Linked DNA regions of Nothobranchius furzeri. The protein of the gene in region 1 binds, or shares a complex with, the protein of each later gene. Links are inferred from orthologs where the notes say so. Each region holds a gene or a part of one and is shown on either strand. Other genes may lie near its edges.

Evidence for each region. The genes of interacting proteins can lie anywhere in the genome.
Region 2: the proteins of s1pr1 (region 1) and si:dkey-26c10.5 are in contact, whole or in part, in a cryo-EM structure (PDB 8G94), measured with the Homo sapiens proteins. The link is inferred for Nothobranchius furzeri from reciprocal best matches to the Homo sapiens genes S1PR1 and CD69. Residues at the interface, in NP_001307659.1 of Homo sapiens: Asn157, Leu160, Phe161, Ile164, Ser165, Trp168, Val169, Leu172, Ile173, Gly176, Ile179, Met180, Gly181; in NP_001772.1 of Homo sapiens: Val41, Ala44, Val45, Val48, Val49, Thr52, Ile53, Ile56, Ile59, Ala60, Val63.

What each region holds. Positions count from the first base shown.
Region 1 is NC_091748.1:78,298,828-78,302,583, forward strand, and holds the start of s1pr1 (sphingosine 1-phosphate receptor 1), read left to right. Parts: upstream 1-1,386; 5' UTR 1,387-1,660; intron 1,661-2,558; 5' UTR 2,559-2,644; coding exon 2,645-3,756.
Region 2 is NC_091745.1:73,413,724-73,417,479, forward strand, and holds the start of si:dkey-26c10.5 (early activation antigen CD69), read right to left. Parts: upstream 2,600-3,756; 5' UTR 2,356-2,599; coding exon 2,283-2,355; intron 2,144-2,282; coding exon 2,051-2,143; intron 1-2,050. Other genes in the region: zgc:92606 (gamma-aminobutyric acid receptor-associated protein-like 1), read right to left, coding at 3,355-3,420, 3,549-3,667. UniProt on the Homo sapiens protein: Transmembrane protein expressed mainly on T-cells resident in mucosa that plays an essential role in immune cell homeostasis.

The DNA of each region.
Region 1 (3,756 bases):
CAACCACCTCAGACGTACAGTTGTGCAGCCTCATGTACTGTGGCTGGTTGGTGAGGTAGTTGATGGTCATCCATCCATCCATTCATCCATCCATTAATCCATCCATCCATCCATTCATCCATCATCCATCCATCCATTAATCCATCCATTAATCCATCCATCCATTCATCCATCATACATCCATCCACCCATCCATCCATTAATCCATCATACATCCATCTATCCATCCACCCATCCATCCATTAATCCATCATACATCCATCTATCCATCCATCCATACATACATTAATCCATCATCCATCCATCCATCCATCTATCCATCCATCCATACATACATTAATCCATCATCCATCCATCCATCCATCTATCCATCCATCCATTAATCCATCATCCATCCATCCATCCATCTATCCATCCATCCATCCATCATCCATCCATCCATTCATCCATCCATCCATCCATCCATCCATCCATCCATTCATCCATCATACATCCATCCACCCATCCATTCATTAATCCATCATCCATCCATCCATCCATCTATCCATCCATCCATTAATCCATCATACATCCATCTATCCATCCATCCATCCATTAATCCATCATCCATCCATCCATCCATCCATCCATTAATCCATCATCCATCCATCCATCCATCCATCCATCTATCCATCCATCCATTAATCCATCATACATCCATCTATCCATCCATCCATCCATTAATCCATCATACATCCATCTATCCATCCATCCATCCATTAATCCATCATACATCCATCCATCCATCCATTAATCCATCATCCGTCCATCCATCCATTCATCCATCATCCATCCATCCATCCATCTATCCATCCATCCATCCATCATCCATCCATCCATTCATCCATCATCCATCCATCCATCCATCCATCATCCATCCATCCATCTATCCATTCATCCATCATACATCCATCCACCCATCCATCCATCCATCTATCCATTCATCCATCATACATCCATCCACCCATCCATCCATTAATCCATCATCCATCCATCCATCCATCCATCCATCCATCCATTAATCCATCATCCATCCATCCATTAATCCATCATCCATCCATTCATTTATCCATTCATCCATCATACATCCATCCACCCATCCATCCATTAATCCATCATCCATCCATCCATCCATCCATCCATCCATTAATCCATCATCCATCCATCCATTAATCCATCATCCATCATCCATCCATCCATTAATCCATCATCCATCCATCCATTAATCCATCATCCATCCATCCATCCATTTATTTATTCATTCAACCATTTATTTTCCCATCCATCCATCTTCATCCATCCATCTGATGTGAAACAGACAAACACGAGGAGGACAGCATCCTCCTCCTCGTCGTTCCCGGTCCTGCGCGTGCGCGTGCGTGTGCGTGTGTCCTCTCCTCTCTGCAGTCGGACTCTGTAAAAACCAAAAACGTCTTTGTTGTTCTGGTCGACCTTCGGAGCAACCCACGCGGATCTTCAGCTGCACCAGAGGAGTCGGACCTGTTTTTTATGTTTGTTTTGTTCTGTATCTACTGGACCAGAACCAGAACCAGAACCAGAACCAGGAGCGGAGCCGCCTTCTGTCCTCCCGGCTTGAGGAGCCGCGCTCGGCTGAACTCAGGTCAGTCTGCGGAGTTTTTACTGGAATAAAGTCGATAAAAGTTCAAAACCCTAAATAAAGTCGAAAAGAACTGATTTAATCATCGTGGCGGGACTCGTGTGTGGGTTTGGGTGATTCTGTTCAAATTCAGTTCCTCTTCAATGATATTTGATCGTTATTGAGTCGAATAAAGACTAAAACCGAGTCTTCAGTAACTCTGGTGGATTTAAACAACTTTTCTCTGTGCTGAGGTCAAGTCTAACTTTAATGTTTTATTTAATCACCAATAAACAGCAGAATGATGGGATCCGTCCAGTTTAAGCCTTCATGTTCAGGTTTCAGACATTTACAAAGCAGAAGAAATTCCCTCAATTTAGCCACGTTATTTGGAACCCCAGCCTAAATAAACAGATAAATAAAGTAAAATATAAATATTTTATTATGATAATAAAATGATCATGAGCATCGTAGTGAGACATGTCAAAATAATTTAAGGACGTTTTATGAGAATATTTCGTTGAAATGTGATTATAATCACTAAACTCCGCAGCGTTTAGTTTGCGGATAACGTCTAGTTAGATCATTTTTAGGATGAACAGCTGAACAGATGTTTGATTTAACAACAAACATGAAGTTTTACGTGAATTTGTTACGTTTAAGGTTTTTTAGATTTTTATCTGTTGAATAAAACTGCCTCAGAACCAAAACGCCAAAAATAAACAAACTCTTCATGATTTAAATGTTATTTTTCTGATAATGATTATTTATTTGGATTAATATGTTTTATGAACTTTAGTCAAGCTGGTCACAGATGTTTACAGATGACAGGGTTAGGGTTAGAGCGAGCTTGTTGAAATCAGGGATGTAATCTCCTGAACGGAGAAGCTTTTATTCAAGTGTTCCTCTCCTGTTCCTGCAGGACCATGTCCCTCTCAGCTCCTCCTCAGGAGGACCACCTGACATGAATAACTGATTTGTGAGGACGCAGCGCCCCCTGCTGGACTCATGCAGCAGGCCATGGCTGATCCCAGTTATTCCGACCTCATTGCCAAACACTACAACTACACCGGAAAGTTCCGTAAGACGACCCAGCAGGACTCCGGTCTGAAGGCCGACTCAGTGGTCTTCATCATTGTGTGTTGCTTCATCATCCTGGAGAACGTCCTGGTCCTGACCACCATCTGGAGGACCAAGAAGTTCCACAAGCCCATGTACTACTTCATCGGGAACTTGGCGCTGTCGGACTTGCTGGCAGGTGTCGTCTACACCGCTAACATCCTCCTGTCCGGCGCCAACACCTACAAGCTGACGCCAACGCAGTGGTTCTTCCGGGAGGGCAGCATGTTTGTGGCACTGGCGGCGTCCATCTTCAGCCTGCTGGCCATCGCAATCGAGCGCCACCTCACCATGCTGAAGATGAAGCTGCACAACAACGGGAACACTTGCCGGGTTTTCCTACTCATCAGCACCGTGTGGATGATTGCGGCGGCGCTGGGCGGGCTGCCAGTGATAGGGTGGAACTGCATCGACCGCATGGTGCAGTGCTCCACCGTGCTGCCACTCTACCATAAGACCTACATCCTGTTCTGCACCACCGTCTTCAGCATCATCCTCATGGCCATCGTGGTGTTGTATGCCCGGATCTATGCCCTGGTCCGCGCTCGCAGTCGCAAGCTTGTCTTCCGCAAAGTCTCCAACGGGCGGGGCGGCACCAGTGCCAACAGCAAGAGCTCAGAGAAGTCCCTGGCACTGCTGAAGACCGTCATCATTGTTCTGAGCTGCTTCATTGCCTGCTGGGCGCCGCTCTTCGTCCTTCTGCTGCTGGACGTGGCCTGTGAGACTCTGACCTGTCCCGTCCTCTACAAGGCCGAGTGGTTCCTGGCACTCGCCGTACTCAACTCTGCCATGAACCCGCTCATTTACACGCTGACCAGCAACGAGATGCGCCGAGCATTCCTTAAGACACTAATGTGCTGCACCTCCTGCATCCGCCGGAAGCCCAAGTTCACGGGTCCGATAATGGGGGCGGAGTTTAGCCGCAGCAAATCAGATAACTCCTCCCACCCCAACAAGGAGGAGGCGGAGTATTCTCCTCGGGAGACCTCAGGGAATGTCAC
Region 2 (3,756 bases), on another chromosome or scaffold:
CCAGATCCATTTCTAACAATTCCCAGTTTCCAGAAAAAATGCAGAAAGCGCCGTGCACAGACAAGACAAAGAGCCAATTGGGCTAAGGAGGGAGGGATAGGAGAAAAAAGCGTCTGTACTCTCCAAGAGCCGGAAGAAGATGTTTGTCGTGTGTGTCTTTTGATTGTTTTTTAGCGTTAGCAACTAGATGTTCCAACAAGAAATCCAGACCTTGTTTAATTTTTGATGCTGTTTATTCTCATTTGAGACATTCAGAGCAACTGAAAATCATAATTTGTCTCGTCTTTGTCTTTATTTTGAACATGCGTACATACACATAGTAATACACACAACATTTAACCCTTTGATGCATAATGGTCACTACAGTGGACAGGTACTCAAAATTGTTATTTATTTGTTTTTGCTATTAAGCACAGCTGTTGAAGACTTTATTGCATTTGAGCCCCTCCATTTGGACTTCAGTAAGCCAAGCCAACGTATTTCATGCTCAGAGTGCACGCTGTCCACCGAGGTGGACATGTAATAAATTGTTTGTAAATTATAAAATTTAACAAAAAATATATGTTGAAATTTGTTTCATTCACACCTAAAGATGAATGAAAAAAAATTGTTAAAAAAATCATGGTTGAAGATTTCATAATTCATGCATCAAAGGGTTAATCCCGCCCCTTTCTCGACATCAAATAACTAATAGTTATTTAATGTTGTCTGGTAGTTTTTGGCAAATTACTTTGCAACATATTCACACAAATGGCACATGGTTTATCAAGATTGTTGGATAAATTAGGTCACGGCACCAAAATGTTAGGTCATTTCATTTTCCCATCCAGGGTTACCTGAGGGAAAGTTCAACACGCAGGGGTCATATTAATAAACCGATCGATTAACCCATACCAATCTTTACCAATAAACAATTTAGACTTTGCAAAGTGGAGAGAGATAAAATGATTCACACGAGTCGGTAGGCAATTCGCTCTCTCAGACAGAACCCTCAGAAAGCATTTATTGAGGACACACAAAAATGGTAAAACGCACACACGTTTACACACTAAACACTGACACACACACTTTGACATTCCTTTAGACTCTCTTTAGGGAGACAACAGGCGCTGGCACAGGGCGTTCTTACTGATAAGCCAGGACTGGAAAGAGGCAAGGTCAAACGCCTGTCTGTTGCCAGGGTAAAATAAACCGGATGAAGCTTTCGTTTAAAAAATAATAAAATAATCTATTCATAATTTATCCAACAAAGATCATCTCATAAATACAAACATTTTGTGTTTAGACACACACGTTTGGACCTTCTTCCTTGTATTTGGTAAACATCATGAGTTGAAGCTTTTTTTTAAACAGCATCATGTTTGGACATCGCCTCATTCTGTTCCACAGTTTCACACCGCACGCACACACACACACACACACACACACAGAGAGAGAGAGACACTGAAAGTTTTTAATGATGTTCGGACTCGAGCATGTTTGAATTTTAACTCCCCACTTAACCGAAACCTCCCCTCCCTTTTATGAAACAGTTTTAATTTGTTGTCTGGAAGTGGTTTATTGTTTACTTTATACATTAGCTGTGCTGTTTTAAACTGAACTATCTCTGGAAATTTTAAGGTTTGTAATTTTAAAAATACTGAGTTTGTATGATCTCTGTAACCAGTGTTATAAATGATCCTTAGAGCCCTTTTTTGTAACACAGATAATGACGATGATGCACATTCATAGGTGTTTCCCCAAACCTCTGTACAGTAACTTAAATATGTGGAAACAAGTGAACAATAATTTGATTCAGGAACAATCACCAGATCAAACTGGAACAAACACTAACGTCTAAAAGCACAGGACTTATTACCAGAGCTGTGAAAATGAATAAATATATTGAAAATAAATAAATCACTACTAAAATCTTAATAAAGAACTTAAACTCTGTCAAAGGAAGATGCGACAGACTCAGACGTGCTAAAACGCGCTGCTCGTGGGATTTTCCTGCTCATCACAGACAATACGCTTATAAATGAGCTGTAATCTGCTTTTTCTGTCTTACCTTTTGCTGCTTTAGCAGGAACGCTGATGAGAGCGTCTGAATAGAAGTCCTCACTTGGACTTTGCAGGGTATCGTAAGCCGATTCTGCTTCCTCTAAAGATAAATACACAAACATCTGGAGTCTTCTTCCAAAAACTTCCTAAAAGTTTAAAACTTAGTTTTTTTGTACGTTTGTGCTGGAAGGTTAAACTCTCAAACACCTCTTTTATTCGTCTGACCCCTTTAAGCTCACCTTGAGGTTTCACCTCCAGCAAAGCTTCACCTCCAGTTTCCGTTCCTTGTGACGGGATGGTCTGCATCTCCATAGCTCTCCCTTTGTCGCTCCAACTTTCGATTTGCTCCGATTGTCTCTGATCAACTCAAGAGGTTATGTAACCCTTTTCAGCCCCCGGTGCCACAAATGCTGCACCAAGATGTCCAGATGGGTTTTAAAGAACAGAGAAAAGAGAAGTTTCTGATGTCCAGTGAAAACAAACGCCTCTGATCAGCAGAGACAACACTTCCCCTTAAAGATCTGTTCCTGCCCTTCCCCTATTTGGCATGTGGAGGCTTCAGCGGTTAAGGCCTGTTTTAATTCTTGCTGCTTCATCGTTAACTCCCAGGTGAAGCTCTGCTCTGTGTGCACATCATACATATTCCACATTAAACTAAATGTTAATATTTGGAGGCATCATAAATGTGGAGCTAATTACAGCCGGCTAGTTATTTATACAGGATTGTTGAAAAAGGGGACTGACGGCGAGAATGCATTCTTCAATAATCTTTATTCCCCACAAAGATCTGCGGTAATTTACAAAAACCAACAAACAAAAAGTACTATTTGCATTAAATACAGACGACTGAGAAAGTGAATGAGTTCTTTCAACTCAATTTTTTAAATCTTCCCTTTTAAACTCGATCTTTGAAGCCCTGACTTTTGACCAAACAAGAAAACCACAAAGTTTAAACATCTTTTGTACATTCTTGCTGTGTTTGTCCTCTAATTCAATTTTTGGTTCTTTTTAAACACAGATAAGGTTTTTCTTTAAAGAAAAACCTCATCTGTGTTTAAAACGAACCAAAACTGGCACCACAAAGTTTAAAGCTCCGAGAATCACGCTCAGCTTGAAATACTGTCGGTAAAACTGTGAAAACCCGACCGGCGTCACCTTCTGCCTTGTTCTTCCACCATCAGCTGTAGTTACTTATCAAAACGTAGAAAGAAAATTATAAAGTGTCACAAAGCATAACAGAAAACTTTCTCTTAGTCCAGCTTCACTTGGCTCTCTCTCCTTCTCAGTCTTTCATCGGCCTTCTGTTCCACTTCAGGCACCGTACACACTCTCGTTACTGTAGGTCATGTAGAGGAACAGGTCCTCTTCATGATGCTCCTGCAACAAAACATGACCAGAAGAGAATAAATCACGTCTAAAACACTTACATTGATATCTAATGGCTGGTTTTAGGTATAAATAAGACCGCCGGGGTTTAAACGCGACACAAATAGATCTGCAGTTACCTCGTATACAGTGGAGAGAGGGCAGCTGGATGGGGGGAGGGAGTTGTTGACGAAGAAGAAGAGCGCCTCCTCTGGCCTCAGCGACATACGTTGACGGATCAGAAAACACAACTGCCCCACTGATGAAAGAAAAAAAGGGAAGGAAATGGTCAGTTATGGTAACATCCTGCTGTCTGGTTTCATCCGAGAGGAATCGAAAGGAAAAATA